Drosophila melanogaster: one gene and its partner. The protein of the gene in region 1 interacts with the protein of each later gene in a pairwise test. Each region holds a gene or a part of one and is shown on either strand. Other genes may lie near its edges.

Evidence for each region. The genes of interacting proteins can lie anywhere in the genome.
Region 2: the proteins of ACOX1 (region 1) and CG6800 interact in a two-hybrid assay, tested with the Drosophila melanogaster proteins (one large-scale study listed by BioGRID).

What each region holds. Positions count from the first base shown.
Region 1 is NT_033778.4:17,755,408-17,765,041, forward strand, and holds ACOX1 (acyl-CoA oxidase 1), read left to right. Parts: upstream 1-5,532; 5' UTR 5,533-5,858; coding exon 5,859-5,982; intron 5,983-6,721; coding exon 6,722-6,881; intron 6,882-6,935; coding exon 6,936-7,228; intron 7,229-7,285; coding exon 7,286-7,581; intron 7,582-7,640; coding exon 7,641-8,257; intron 8,258-8,322; coding exon 8,323-8,428; intron 8,429-8,491; coding exon 8,492-8,644; intron 8,645-8,703; coding exon 8,704-8,964; 3' UTR 8,965-9,134; downstream 9,135-9,634. Other genes in the region: Sardh (sarcosine dehydrogenase), read right to left, coding at 1-971; HLH54F, read left to right, coding at 2,168-2,243, 2,680-3,029, 4,629-4,931; OstDelta (oligosaccharide transferase delta subunit), read right to left, coding at 9,274-9,634. UniProt on the Drosophila melanogaster protein: Catalyzes the desaturation of acyl-CoAs to 2-trans-enoyl-CoAs. First enzyme of the fatty acid beta-oxidation pathway.
Region 2 is NT_033777.3:21,771,967-21,778,933, reverse strand, and holds CG6800 (uncharacterized protein), read right to left. Parts: upstream 2,797-6,967; coding exon 2,596-2,796; intron 2,543-2,595; coding exon 2,158-2,542; intron 2,096-2,157; coding exon 1,945-2,095; intron 1,893-1,944; coding exon 1,721-1,892; downstream 1-1,720. Other genes in the region: tsl (torso-like), read left to right, coding at 1-582; Polr1H (RNA polymerase I subunit H), read left to right, coding at 1,168-1,285, 1,337-1,556, 1,621-1,645; GABA-B-R2 (metabotropic GABA-B receptor subtype 2), read left to right, coding at 3,601-3,849, 4,026-4,507, 4,569-4,749, 4,805-5,023, 5,079-5,374, 5,435-5,798, 5,861-5,971, 6,038-6,274 and 1 more.

The sequences.
Region 1 (9,634 bases):
AACACCGACCAATCCAGTTCGTAGAGTCCGAAATGGAAGTCCTTGGGCACGGGCTCCAGCAGAATGGGATTCGGTTCATAGCCACCCATGCAGATGGCATCCCCTTGGATGCGGAAGTAGGTGGAGTAATCGTGATCTCTGATATTGGGTAGACCTCTAACACCCGGAATGGATTCAGAAACAATATAAGCATGCTTCATGGGCACAAGGGGAAGATGGGTGCCGTGCCGGGCCACCAAATCACGACCCCACACTCCTGTAGCATTCACTACCTTCTCAGCTTTGATGTCCCCGAAAGGCGTGGAAACACCCACCACCTTCTTACCCCTCGCAGTCTGCTCCAGCAGTAGATCATCCACTCCGCAATTCTCGATTACCTGTGCTCCGAGATTAGTGGCTGCCTTTTTGAGGGCCGCACACAGCATCGCCGGATCCATGACACCATCACCCGGAGAATAGAGAGCGCCCACAAATGCCGACGGATCGAGGAGGGGAAATAACTTTTGGGTGTCCTCCGGACTCAGCACTTGGTTTTCAATACCCAAAGCTGAGCCCACAGTGGCCAGTCTGCGATACTCGTCCAGTCGCGTTTCATTGTGAGCAATGAAGATGCCACCATTTTGAATCCATCCCGGATCCAGCTCCGTTTCCTCCTCCAATTGCTGCAGCATGCGACGTGAATTAGCCAGCAGCTGAATATCCACATCGTTGGGACGCAGGCGCCACAGCAATCCAGCCGTGTGCCAGGTGGTTCCGGCCGTAAGTTGGGCGCGTTCCAGGAGCACGGCCTTGACACCACGTCGTGCCAGGTGATACAGTGTGTGACAGCCCGCCGAACCACCGCCAATAACCACAACATCTGCTGCGCCTGGCAGGAATCCACTTGGTTCCCTTCGAGCTCCTCCATCTTCCCTCACTTGTTTGCTGATTCCACGGCGCGAAGCTTGCTGCAGGATGCGATGGCGCCACATCTCAAAAACGGCCGAGCGCGACGACTTTAGAATCTCAACTGAATTCTCGAGTTAAAAACACAATACCGCCATAATAATCTCCCGCTGAATTGATCGGATAACCCATGGTTCAGCATCCTGATAAACCTGCTGTGCCAGTGACGTTCCATCCATGACTGGAGGCCCTAATCAAGGCCACGTTTTAGGGTCACAGCACGTTTCTTATCTGGGTTCGGAGGCGTGGCAAGTAGTAAAATTAGTTAGCAGCTACGTAGGTCAAAAAACAATTTAATCTGAGCAAATTTTTAGTTTCAATAAAGATGCGGTTTAACAGATGCTTCTTGCTAATATGTTGTGGTTTCAATTAATCCATTCATATAAATAGATTTATTAAACTCTTGCTTTTCTTTTAAAAGCACTTAAAGAAAACGTAAATTCTATAGATTAAACAAAGTGTTGCCTACATATATGTACATATATTTTCGAGTATTTTCATTTCCCGCAGAAAATTTGAAAAGTCAAAATCGTTCTCGGAACTTAAAACTCCCCACATAAGCAATGAAATTTTGGACCCATACTCAAATGCCAACCATCGCGGCGACCCCAAACAGGATACGCAGTTGAACCCCAGGATTATAATCTCTTCCGATCTGCCATTAATGCCTATCTCCAAATGCACTGCGAGATCGAATACCAGGTGGTGCCATCTGGAGCCGGAGTCTTGGCACGCTTCGCACTCGCCCGTCGCACATCCTTACGGCACAACATCCCCACTCCAACGCCCGTAGTGAACCGGATAAACCGAGCGTTTCATTTTGAATTTTCCCGCAGACCGACGGAGGAACACTGTGTGGCCAATGTGGTGGCAGCCAGAAGGCAAACAACCGAGAAAGAGACCGCCGATCGCACCATGTGTCCGGATTCCTCCGCCAATTGGGACTGTTTGCGGAGCAGGCACGCCCACCAGAGGTGCCAGAAATAGACGGAATCTGGAGAGCTGCAAACTGCGGAGCAGAATGCTCAAAAAGGAGGATCTCCCCGTAACCCGTGACAGAAGTGCTCTACGTGCCACGCAGATCGGACGTATTCGACTCACAGATTGGTTTCGGTTCGGTGCGTTTCGATTTTAAGTGAGAAAACTGAGTGATTGGAATTTTATATCCAATTTGAAAATATTCGAAGTGATTCTTGTGATACCACCAACTTGTTTTTGAACAATGCCACGCAAGAAGCGCAGTTCCAGCCCCACGGAGTTCTTTGATGACGACTTCGATGAGGATGCCAGTTCTCAAAGTGAGTTCGATTTCAATTTATAGGTGATTTTGTACTTATATTAAAAAGATGTATTATAAACGCTTAAAAACGTTGACAATGTAAATATGTTTAGCTAGTTTTGTAAATTTATTATTTACTTTAAAGTAAAATTCAATTTCCTTAGAATTTTTTAAATCGAACTTTAGAATTTACCTTAAAAGGAATGTTAATTTAAAATGCGTTAAGCTCTAAATGAAAATATAATAATAATGATAAAAATTATAATAACAGAAAGCACAATAGATATAAATTGAGTTTAAAATTCATACTCCATATGCTTTTTGAACTTCATACTTTGCGAAGATATCTATAATGTAACTTAAAACTTTTGTGGATACCAATAAAACCTTTTGTTTCTAATTAATCTCTTGTTATTGGAGCTCCTTAAGATGTATCTACATTTCTGATTTTCCAGGCTCCCAACCGCCGGTGCAGCGAAATGCGGCAAATGCCCGGGAGCGGATGCGTATGCGGGTTTTATCCAGCGCCTACGGACGTTTGAAGACCAAGCTGCCCAACATTCCGCCGGACACGAAGCTCTCCAAGTTGGACACGTTGCGTTTGGCCACGCTCTACATCAAGCAGCTAATTACGGCTGTGGAGACAGGCAGCCACTCGCAGAACCACCCGCACAACCACAACCAGCACCACAGCCTCAACCACAGTCACTCGAGTACCACCAGTTCCGAAGGCCTGGACACAAGTCACATGGCAGATTCGTCCGGTGGAGGCAATTATAATTTCCACAACAACGGACACGGCATGGTAAGTGTCATGCAATTGCGATCCCCCTGCCCGAATATAAGTGATGTCACTGCCACCACTTAACGATGCACTGCACCCGCGGCTCGGGGGAACGGGAACGCATTAATGAGCCGGCCACTTCAGGTGGATCTCGTCAGTTAATGACAGGTGTCGCAGGGGATGCCCAGTGATATGCCCAAGATCAATGTTTATTCATGGATTTCAGTCTAATTGAGAAGTAATGTTCAGCCGATCGGGATTCCCATAAGTTTATGTCTTTTTATGGAAAGTTTGGTATTGGGAATGAAAATTTTTCTTTTATGCGTTTTCTTTGAAAAGCCATTAAGGAAATAAAGTAGGTAGATATTTGTAAATTTTGCTAGTTGAAATTAGCCTTTCGTAGAATTTTAACTTAGAGATCGTGGAAAGTTACACGGAAACCCAGGCTTCAGTGTTTAAAATTTAAAAAATTGATACTATTACAATTTAAACGTATACGCAATCTATTATTCTCATTTTTTTTTTAACAAGCAACTTAAGTATTTAGTAATACTACTCAACTTATAGGGGTAATTCAACGCAATTTTAGCGAAATATAGATCAAAAATCCAAAGGAATGTGGTGCAACATCTGCTTGGTGATGCGGACGCGATGCGGCGACAAGTATTTCCACCTTTTCTAGATGTGGAGGTGAACCACAAACGTAACCACATCCACATCCCATGACCGGAGTCAGCCATTCAGCCGGGCCCCCCACTAGAACACCGAAATCACATTTTGTGATTTCAGACTGCCTTGCTTTCCTGTAATCCGATACTTTTGTGAATTTCGAAAATATTAAATATGAGTGACAGGCTGTTGGTGGAGCGGGCAGGGAACGGAGATGGTAACGCAGACCTGCGGATCTGGATGGGGGGCACTAGTTAGTCTTTGCTTTTATTTTTTATTTTTAAAGATGCTCTTGATGCTTTGAAGCGACACAGTGAATGACATGCGAGGGAAAGTGTCATCCTCAGTAGTTTTCCCACTCGGATTATTGTAATTAAAATTTGTCTAACCGTGTTTATCCATCAGCCATTCCCGCTGGAGTTTACACAATCTATCACTCAAGATTCATGGCGTGCACAACTTATCTAAATAGATGCAATTGTTTACACACCGAATGCGTGAAAAATTCAGCAAATACGGCTCCGTCTTGTGCCCATATGGTGGCAAATCAGATCGGATCGGAGAGTCCCGACCCTATCCGAATTTATACCATCCACGCGCCCAAGATGATCTGTTGGGAACAACCCATTGGTTCGCTATTTGCTCGCTAGCCCTAGCATCCCTATATCCCATTTCCAATCCCTCATTGTATGGCATACAAATGAGTGTCTCTTGTCCGCAAGTGTTTGGCTGTTTATGTTTTTATAGATCCGTTAATGAGGCTGTTATTGTAGATCTAGACGTGGAGGCGGGGGTGGGCACTAAAAACAATCAAAGTTGCGTAAACAAACAATGGCGCTGTCTCGGGATGGGTTGTCGTCATATTGTTCCATATATAGCCCCTGCGGTTTCCACAACTCCTATGATTTATGCCTGTTTTATCCACACATTCCACATTATACTGTCTTGCAGAGCTGGCCCTTTGAGTTCCACCAGAGTAGCCGGAGTTTGGCATTTGCCCCATCATCATCAACCACCTCATCCGCCCGTATGGATTGGCAAACCCTGCATACGCAATCTTATCCGAAGACTACGCGAGGCGAAACCCATGTTTCGGCGGATCTAAGTTACCATCAGTTGCCGGAATCTCACAGTCACTGGTATCCGGCGGAAGTGCATCAAATGGAGCCAGCGGCCAGCTGTTCCTATGACTCTGGAATGGGGCAGCATCAGCGGGGCATAGCTATAGCCACTAGCCATGCCCATGGCATTTAAGCGGATATTATAAATAATGTTCTGACCTAAGCCAAATGAATTTACCACCTAGTAAGTGTATTAAATCGTGATTTAATTTTACGTGTTTCCGTATGTGCAAGCCTGAACCTATGCTATAAGGCCAAAGATTGGTGTTACCTCATGATCATTTAGCTAGCAAATATATCTATGTTTTTAATAAAATTGGAATTTTTGAATTTTTTTGAATTGGCGCCAAGATTATGGTGACTGTATCCCTGGAGTTGTCGAGTGCTGCCGTACTTGTTTGTATTTTGCAGCCCTGTTCAACAGCTGATTTCGTCACAATACAAACAAAGAGCTGCTAAAAACAAAATTAATCTATTAATTAAGGCGGAATTCAAATACCCTACTTTTTTTAAAACGGCTAATTTGAGACATTTTAAAGATGTTATTTATGCAGAAAGATGTAGTGAATTTGCATTATTCACTTGCAAACAAATTATACGAACAAAGAAGCTTATGAAAGCAATCTTATTTAAATTAGAAACAAACTGAAAGAAAACGCCCAAGTACTTTTTACATGCAGTGTATTTATTTTGTGTATTTACTCATAAATGTAGCCCAACAACAATGGCGTGAGAATAATGGTTGTGCTACAGACTATTTCAACACAAAAGCGAACTTATTACATGTGTATTTTCGCGGTTAAAGTTCACGTCGTTCGAGAGCTGGCATCGATGATTAGATTCGGAATAGCTGGATCAGATCAGCAGTCCATAATCTCAATCTCCTCCACTGGATTTCCTCCACCAGCACTTGAGTGACCGACTGACTGACCACTGAGCGCAATTCGCCTTTCCAGCAACAATCAGTCAGTACGCGATATTCAACGAAGACGGACGCTTTGCGGTGGCTCGTTAATCCATAACCTGTTTACGTGACTTGAATACTGTGCCGCATAGCAAAATGCCAGCCAAACCAGTGAATCCCGATCTCCAGAAGGAACGCAGCACGGCCACCTTCAATCCCCGGGAGTTCTCCGTTCTGTGGGCCGGCGGCGAGGAGCGATTCAAGGAGAAGAAGGCCCTGGGTGAGTTAGCTTAGAAGGGAAAAACACCGGATTTCAAGCTTCTCCGGTGACCCCGACAGACCTACATGTACATTCACATTAACCGGTCGCTCAGAGCTTTATCTGAGCTTGGCGCAATCGCGTTTCCCAACAGTGGATGCAAGAAATTGTGCCAAAAGCATGACTTGGCAATTAAGCTAGGCTTTAACGCATTTATAGCTAATCTGTAGGGTACAAACTCTGATGCTAGCCATGTCAGCCACTGATAAATTATCCAAAACATCCTGTCAACTTCTTTGTTTTGATACGCTTCTTCTCCGTCCATTCATTCATGCGATTTGTTGATTTTGCTGCACGCCGTGGCCCAAAGTTCATTAATTATGTATTCCGCATAAACAAGCCGCTACTAGTTAATCAGCACCTATTAGCCAGCTCATAAGTTATTAATCTTTGAACTTCGCGCGAATCGCGATCAATCCGACTACTTGTGTACTTTGAATGTTTGCAGCTACCCACCATCTATTTCCAGGTCCACTTGAAATTAGTTTAGCTGATAGGTTTATCTGACAGATTTGCACGGTCGCTCAGGGCATCATAAATGGACAATGCCCAGTAACTCCCGCGAATTAACGAAGAATACTTTCCACTCATGATTACGCTGCAAAATTCAACAATGCTTATCTAAATGACACCTCCTAAAATATTAAATCCCTTTCCTTATGGCTTCATTTACATTAAATTTCGTTTATGATTTTTCCAGAGAAATTGTTTTTGGAGGATCCAGCCCTTCAGGACGACTTGCCCATTTCCTATTTGTCACACAAGGAGCTCTATGAGCACAGCTTGCGCAAAGCCTGCATCATAGGAGAGAAGATCCGCAAGCTACGTGCTGATGGCGAGGATGGAGTGGATACTTACAAGTAAAGAAATCCTTATATTTAATGTACTTCAGGTTGTAATTTGTGTGCTTATAGTGCTCTGCTTGGTGGATCCTTGGGATCGGCTATTCTAAAGGAGGGCAATCCGCTTGCGCTGCACTACGTGATGTTCGTGCCCACCATCATGGGCCAGGGAACGATGGATCAGCAGGTGGAATGGCTGAGCAAGGCCTGGGACTGTGAAATCATTGGCACCTATGCCCAAACGGAACTGGGACACGGAACCTTCCTGCGCGGTCTGGAGACCAGGGCTGACTACGATGCCAGCACCCAGGAGTTTGTTATAAACACTCCATCACTCAGTGCATACAAGTGGTGGCCCGGTGGATGTGAGTTTTCTTGAACACTTAATATTTTGAAATTGTTATAAAATCTGGGACTTGCAGTGGGACACACTGCTAACCATGCGGTTGTGGTGGCACAACTCTACACCAAGGGCGAGTTCCGTGGTCTGGCTCCTTTTATTGTCCAATTGAGGGATTCCGATACTCACCGTCCCATGCCCGGCATCGACATTGGAGATATTGGTACCAAGCTGGGCATGAAGGGTGTCAACAATGGCTATTTGGGACTGAAGAACGTACGGGTGCCTTTAAACAACATGCTGATGAAGAACCAGCAAGTGCTGCCCGATGGCACATATGTGGCGCCGAAGAATAGCGTGCTTACCTACGGAACTATGGTACTATTACACATATTCACTATATCTTCACAGAGATTTTAACCATTTTTTCATTCAAGATGTTTGTGCGTTGTGCTCTTATCCGTGATACCGCTCAGAGCCTGGCAAAGGCATCCACTATTGCCACTAGGTATTCAGCTGTTCGCCGACAGAGTCCCATTGATCCCAATCAACCGGAGCCCCAAATCATGGACCATACCACGCAGCAGTTGAAGTTGTTCCCCCAGATAGCTAAAGCCATCGTTTTCAAAACGACGGGTGATGGCATCTGGAATATGTACAACGTGATATCTGGCGAGATTGAGCAGGGTAACTTGGATCGCCTGCCCGAAATGCATGCATTGTCCTGCTGCCTTAAGGCCATCTGTAGTGCCGATGCCGCCGCCGGCGTGGAAACGTGTCGTCTGTCATGTGGCGGACATGGCTACATGGACTGCTCCAACTTCCCCACGATATACGGCATGACCACGGCCGTTTGCACCTATGAGGGCGAGAACACAGTGATGCTGCTGCAGACTGCTCGCTATTTGGTGAAGGTTTATGGGCAGGCCTTGAATGGAGAGAAGCTGGTGCCAACGGTTTCGTACATCAGTGATGCAATAAACCAAACCAAGTTTGTTAACTTTGACGGATCATTGAGGTCTATTGTCAAGGCTTTCCAATTCGTTGCCGCCAAGTAAGTATTTACTAAAGAAAAAAAGGTAGAAGTACCAAGTATTTAAATTCATATTTTTATATCAGCAAAACCCGAATTGCCTATGAGCAGATTGAACTGCGCCGCAAGCAAGGTTATGGTACCGAGGTGGCAGCTAATCTATGTGGCACCTTCCTAACAGCAGCTGCAGATGTAAGTCGTAATGAAATATCTGTTATTCACTCAGTATCCTATATAATTTTGTACCACTTGTAGCTTCATGGACGCGCCTTCCTAGCGCAGACTGCCTATACGGAGCTTTTGGCCTTGTCGCGCGAGGTGTCCCCAGAACTAGCTGAAGTCCTAAAGGTGGTGCTGGAGCTGTATCTGGTAGACGCCTGCCTCAACCGCATTGGCGACTTCTTGCGGGTACGATTTTAAATTGATATTAGTTAAGAATATTTAATGTTATATGTAACTTTCAACAGTTCATTGATCTCACTGATCAAGATGTCACGAAACTGGAGGTTCGCCTGGAGAACTGCTTAAAACGATTCCGGCCGAATGCCGTCAGCTTGGTGGACAGCTTTGATCTTCACGATCGCGTGCTAGATTCCGCATTGGGTGCCTATGATGGAAATGTTTACGAACACATCTTCGAGTCTACGAAGAAGAACCCGTTGAACAAGGAGCCAGTCAACGGAGCATTCCACAAGTACTTGAAGCCATTCATGAAGGCTCACCTCTAGATTCATATCCTATTGCTCTGGAAGATTTTCACAAGTGTTATTATTGTAAATATACATTTGTTTCCATTGTTTTTGTATTATACAACTGTCTGCTTAGCAAATGGTCTTTAAGACAATTATGATGTCAGGGCTTGTGCAGTTGAAACTAGGCTGTAAAATTATACACAAATAAAATATTCAACTATATTTAAAGGCAGTATTTAGTGTGTGTTTGGGCTTAACTAAATCGCTTTATTAAAGTTTGTTTTCTGATGGTGTTGCAAGATAGAGAGTAGCTCACTTATTGACTTCGTACAATGATGAACGCACTTACGACGCACTTGCCTTCGAGTTACGTTGTGCGTAAAGACGTCTCAGTAATCGGTTGCCAGCCAGGAATGTGAATACTGCGATGGGAATCAGCAGGCGCAGTGTCTGGAACATGTTAAGCTGCAGCCAGAACACGAAGAACAGCACCAGAATGCCACCGAAACCCAGATGAAACCCGATCGTACTCGGTGCCAGCGTCAGGTTAGATACATTGATGCCCAGTTTTCCCCAAAAAACGAAAAGCAGCACAAGCGGGGTTATGCACAGTCCGGTGAAGATATCAGAAACAATGCGGGGCGGGCGCTTATCGGGCACTCGGAACTGATGGATGATTTCGGGCAGGGGACCAGAAGTGTTCTTA
Region 2 (6,967 bases), on another chromosome or scaffold:
CGTCTTAACGCTGAGATTCCGGTGCACCAACCCTTGGAGCCGGATGTGCGATCGAGAATGGATCAACTGCAAATCGGAAATATAACTTCCGCAGTGCGATTTATGGAAGATGTGGGCACCCACTACGTAAACTCATACACCACCGGCAATTCGCTGTATCAGGTGTTTGTGTACAGCAGGAAGAACTACAGCATGATCAAGGAGCGAATCAAGAGTAAAGGTCTGAACGGACTGTCCAAGTTGGATCTTTACAACTACTTTGCGCCCTGGTTTGCCGCCCATCTGGGCCAGATTCGATCGGCTAGTGCCAATGCTACAGTGGAAAGATGGGCGAGAAGGAAGCTGCAGTACGAGTACTATGTGGTCAAGTATGTGACCCTGCTGAAACTGCACGGTAATAGTACTCTACTGCGATCCCTGGACTCGCTGCTCGGCAACGATGCCATACTGCAGTTGGACCTCAAGTCGCTGAAGCCCATCTTCCGGGAGGAGCCGGAAAAGGAGAGCTGGTACCACGAGGTTCTCGACAACAATGTGAAGCTCTGGGAGCTTAACATGCCGCAGAGTCATCCCACCCGATAGCTGCATTTTAAATATATATATACTGTGCGATATGTGGCAGCCAAGGATCAATAGTTCCTAGATGCTTAGTTGTAGTTAGGAACCTCTAGTGCGTAGTTAATGTTCTGCCTGTGATAGTTTTAGGTAGTTTAATTGGAACACAGTACACATCCGACTTGCATTTCAGCTAACTAGACCGTAAGATCGCCTTATTGATGTAATAGTTTTGTAAACTTTAATACAAAGTAAAGATAAAAGTAAAAATCTTACTGTTTTCATAACTTGATATTGGCTATTAAAATCTAACTGTTTTCATTACGTAATATTGGCTATGAATATCAAATACTATTTTGAAAGTTTATTTTGAATAATTGATTTTGATTAAGAACCGGTAATCGAAACGGGTAAACGGCTCTACCCGTTTCATCAAGGCTTTCAACCAGACTTATTCTAGTTTTCCACCCTTACGTATTTAGTATATGAATCAAGTATATTTTTAATACCGTGTGGTATATTTCAAACGGTTCAGTTACGCTCATACTGAAATCCGAAATAGCACGTGCGGTTTTTGTATTTTGATTTTGATTTTGGGTGATATATACTGGCATGGATATTTTTTCCAATTGTCCGGGCTTTTGCCCCTCCTGCGGCTCCATTCTGCCCGAGCTTCAAGTCAAGGGCAATGTGATTTGCTACAACTGCAAGAAGGAGTTTCAGCCAGATGGTAAATCCAGAAATTACAACTTTGTTTAATTTATTTAACACTTAAAAATAGTTTACAGCGGCGAGAAGTCCGAGTTTACCATACACTTCAACACCTACGATCCCAGCAAGGTGTTCAACAGGACGAAAAGGGAGTCGGAATCGGACGCGGATGGCCCCGTTGTGGAGAGGAAGTGTCCCAAGTGCAACCACGACAAGATGTCCTATGCCACCCTGCAGCTTCGATCGGCGGACGAAGGCCAGACGGTGTTCTTTACCTGCCTTAAGTGCAAGTAGGTGTCCTGATAAACATATTCCTTCACTTCCACAACTAATCACACACATTCTACCTTGCAGATTCAAAGAATCCGAAAACTCTTAGTTGCTAGCAATGTCCGTGTAAATAGTCCTAGATTAATGAAAATAATCATGCTCGACGGCCTGAGAAATATAGAATTTACCAATTATAATACCTAACCGGTGTCAAACTTGAAGCAGAACCCACCTCGCTGGCCTTGAGTCGGTTTTTGGGATTGTAGACCACCAGATTCGAGACCAGATTGATTTCCACCGCATGTGTGCAGCTGGGAAACAAGTTGTCCCAGTGAATGCCCACGGAGTTGGGAAACCTACGTCAAGAATATTACGGATTAAGTAATCATAGACGGTAAGAATGCCTACCGTATCTTGCTGTAATCCGGCAGAGAAGTCAGCTCTGGCCACTGATTCAGACGTGGGCTGCCCAGAGTGCGAATGATGATGGCTAATTGCTCGATGTCGGTGGTTCCCGCAAACAGGGGCACTCCGCGTAGCATCTCCGCCACAACACAACCTGGATAGCAATAATGTCAGCCATAAGGATATATGTAAACCCATCAAAGAGTCATGGCTAACCTGCCGCCCACATATCCACTCCGGTTCCATACTTCTGGCTGCCAAATAGAATCTCTGGCGCTCGATACCACCGGGTTGAGACCTGAGGCGAATAAAGGCGCGACTCGTCTTCAGGGAAGTACAGACGGGCCAGTCCGAAATCGGCAATCTTAAGCATATCTGTATCGCTGATAAGCAGATTGGCGGGTTTAATATCCCGGTGCATGAGACCCGCTTCATGCAGATATGCAATCCCCTTGAACATTTGGTGTGCAAACTTACGCACCTGCTGGCGGCTCAGGGGATTAACCTCGCTCTTGAGGCGGTTGTACAGAGTGTCCGGCTGGTATTCCAGCACCAAGGAGAGACCAGTTAGGTCAGGATATATATCAATGATGTCCAGAATCTACAATTAGTTACATAATTAACAAATGGAAAATAGATATATGGTATACCTACATATTCAGACTTGCAAAGCTGCAGGGTCTTGATTTCCCTCAAAGTATTTAGGGCTATGTTTCCGAACTTGTTCTTAAGGGCCACCTTCTTGATGGCCACCTCCTTGTTGCGCTGCAGATCGATGGCCTTAAACACGCAGCCATGGACGCCTTCGCCGATTTTCTCAAGCATTTTATAGCGGCTGGGCGCATAGTCCTCCATTATGGTTACTCACAATTTTCAATTTGGTAATTTTCCGAGCAGTTATCTACTTCGTTTTTCGACCCCAGTAGTCCATGGCAACGGGCACAACAATTGCCGGAGTACCAGCTGATGGGACCACCTGTTGCAGGATGTTTACAAGCGCAGTGGGTTTATGGTAATTACGGGGGTTGGAAAGCCTAGGCCAAGGCGGAGCAGTGACAGCTTTCGGTTTAAGGACATGCGCACTTCCTGCCTCGAATTCCTCCTGTCAGACAAATGTCAAGTCAGGGGGATACATAATTTTTCGGACCCTCGCACTGCAAAAGTTCTTCGTTGGCTGAGATTTGATGTAAAATAAGTGTTTCAAATGGCATCGGTAGTGAAATAAAAGCCAGTTCTGGGACTAAGCAAGCTGGTAGGTTCCTAAAAACATGTACACATAAGATTTAAGAGGATGCAACACCTGGAAGATACTCCTTCGCGTTAACGAGCATACTAAATAATGCACGAATCCTTTAGATCATTAAATTGCTTTATAATTACTAAACGTGCCAGCATTGCTGCAGCAATTTGAAGCAATTTTGCTGGCCTGGACTGGCCTTAGCCTTGCTCCACCTGTCCTGTAAAATTGCATGCGAGTGCCAGCAAACACAGGTAGAACGTAGAAAATAATACACACCCACTGGGCGCAGCCTTGCCTCGGCAGCCTTGGCTCACCCGAAACCAACCACTGCCATTCACCACCCACAACTTGGCTCCAAGTTCACGTCCTCGATATGCGCTATTCACATTTAGAATCGTTTTACAGCCCACGCGGTCAACATGTTCCGGCCAAGTTGGTTTCCATTCGCCAGCCTGCTGTTCCTGCTCCTTTGGAGCACCGCCTGTGGCAGGACAGCCAAGAGATCGGACGTCTACATAGCGGGATTCTTCCCGTACGGGGATGGCGTGGAAAACTCCTACACCGGTCGGGGCGTTATGCCCAGTGTAAAGCTCGCCTTGGGTCACGTTAATGAGCATGGAAAGATACTGGCCAACTACAGGCTGCACATGTGGTGGAACGACACTCAGGTGAGTTAGGGTTTAGCTTGAAGATTTCATTAAGTGAATCTCTGATGATGGACTTGTGGTTTTTAAAGTTCAATTAGGTATTTTTTTTAATGTTCATTGGTTCATATTGTAATATCACACCTTTACCTATGCATATTTCCATATATTCTGGAATGTAATTTTGGTTTCCTTTCCAGTGCAATGCTGCTGTGGGCGTAAAGTCCTTCTTCGATATGATGCATTCGGGTCCCAATAAAGTGATGCTCTTCGGCGCTGCGTGCACCCATGTGACCGATCCCATAGCCAAGGCCAGCAAGCACTGGCACCTCACCCAGCTCAGCTACGCGGACACCCATCCCATGTTCACCAAGGATGCGTTTCCGAATTTCTTTCGCGTGGTACCCTCGGAGAATGCCTTTAATGCGCCGCGACTGGCCTTGCTGAAGGAGTTCAATTGGACCAGAGTGGGCACTGTCTACCAGAATGAGCCACGCTATTCGCTGCCCCACAATCACATGGTGGCTGACCTGGATGCCATGGAGGTCGAGGTGGTGGAAACGCAGAGCTTCGTCAACGATGTGGCTGAATCATTGAAGAAACTGCGCGAGAAGGACGTGAGGATCATTCTGGGCAACTTTAACGAGCACTTTGCACGCAAGGCATTCTGTGAGGCTTATAAGTGAGTTGGATATACTAACTTAAGTCTCAATTTAAAATTATTGCAATAAACTCCCTTCCAGATTGGATATGTATGGCAGAGCCTATCAATGGCTGATCATGGCTACCTATTCCACGGATTGGTGGAATGTCACGCAGGACAGCGAGTGCAGTGTGGAGGAGATCGCTACAGCCTTGGAAGGTGCCATTCTAGTGGATCTTTTGCCCTTGTCCACCAGTGGTGACATCACAGTGGCTGGCATTGTTAGTACCAGTAAAGTCTATTAAAATTCTTGTAATAAATTTCATATTTTACTAGACTGCTGATGAGTATCTTGTGGAGTACGACAGACTGCGAGGCACTGAATATTCCCGCTTTCATGGCTATACCTACGATGGTATCTGGGCAGCTGCCCTGGCCATTCAGTATGTGGCCGAAAAGCGAGAGGATCTGCTAACACATTTTGATTATCGCGTGAAGGACTGGGAGAGTGTCTTCCTTGAGGCTCTACGTAATACATCCTTCGAGGGTGTGACGGTAGATAGATAAACAATCCAGTTTTTGCAGTTAAAACATATTTTACATTCTCAAGGGACCCGTGCGTTTCTACAACAACGAGCGCAAGGCCAACATCCTGATCAATCAGTTTCAGCTGGGACAAATGGAAAAGATCGGGGAATACCACTCACAGAAGTCACACTTGGATTTAAGCTTGGGAAAACCAGTCAAATGGGTGGGGAAAACTCCTCCCAAGGATCGCACTTTGATCTACATCGAGCACAGTCAGGTCAATCCAACCATATATATTGTATCGGCTAGTGCTTCGGTCATTGGAGTGATTATTGCCACAGTTTTTCTGGCCTTTAACATTAAGTATCGCAATCAAAGGTGAGCTTAACAATGCTATATTAAACAATTTCGTTTAATAAAATATTGATGTTTTTATAGATACATCAAGATGTCCAGTCCCCATTTGAACAATCTGATCATTGTGGGCTGTATGATGACCTATTTGAGCATCATTTTCCTGGGTCTCGATACCACATTAAGTAGTGTGGCAGCTTTTCCCTATATCTGCACAGCTCGAGCCTGGATCTTGATGGCTGGATTCAGTCTCAGTTTTGGAGCCATGTTCTCGAAGACGTGGCGGGTGCATTCGATATTCACCGATCTGAAGCTCAATAAGAAGGTGATCAAGGACTATCAATTGTTTATGGTTGTGGGCGTGCTTTTGGCCATTGATATAGCCATTATAACCACCTGGCAGATTGCCGATCCCTTTTACCGCGAAACTAAACAGTTGGAACCCTTGGTGAGTGCATTGATAGAACATATTTGAAGTGAAAAATCTAAAATGATTATTATTAACTACAGCATCACGAGAATATTGATGATGTCTTGGTGATCCCCGAAAACGAGTACTGCCAGTCTGAGCACATGACCATATTCGTTAGCATTATTTATGCCTACAAGGGACTGTTGTTGGTGAGTATATAATAAACATTAATTTGTAAGATATCATTATAATAAAGCAATAATTTTTTTCAATAGGTTTTTGGCGCCTTTTTGGCCTGGGAAACTCGACATGTTTCTATACCGGCTCTGAACGATTCCAAGCATATTGGTTTCTCCGTTTATAACGTGTTCATCACTTGTCTGGCCGGAGCGGCTATATCCCTGGTGCTATCGGATCGAAAGGATTTAGTTTTTGTCTTACTCTCGTTTTTTATCATTTTTTGTACGACAGCCACTTTGTGTTTGGTGTTCGTACCGAAAGTAAGACTGGTAGTAAGGAAGTTTTGTAGTTTTTGTAGCTGTTATATGTTACATATAATAATCGTGTAATATGAATGTTGTTTGTCGGCGGTAATAGGCCGATCAGTTGTGGTTAGAGCTTCTTAACTGATCGTACTTTACCGCCAGCTGAGCTGATCTTTCGTCTAGCGTTGATACACCTTGATACAGAAACAACATGTACTCGAAAACAGATCTTAAAATGCTATATAACACTACAGACTAACTATAAACTTGAACTATATAGAACCCACTAAGAGCAGCAGCAAGGTTGTAGGCAAATCCCACTTCCTTGCTGTTGGAATATCTTTAACTATCCTATATTACTGTCCGTAGAGTTGATCCTTCCTAGATGTTGACCGCGTAGTATAATCTTTGGTTAATATTCATGCGAATCGTTTTGCAGTTGGTGGAGCTGAAGCGGAATCCCCAGGGCGTGGTGGACAAACGCGTTAGGGCCACGTTGAGACCCATGTCCAAAAACGGACGCCGGGATTCCTCGGTGTGCGAACTGGAGCAACGATTGCGAGATGTAAAGAACACAAACTGCCGATTCCGAAAGGCGCTGATGGAGAAGGAGAACGAGCTGCAGGCCTTAATCCGCAAGCTGGGACCCGAGGCACGCAAATGGATCGATGGGGTGACCTGCACAGGTGGCTCCAACGTCGGTAGCGAACTGGAGCCCAT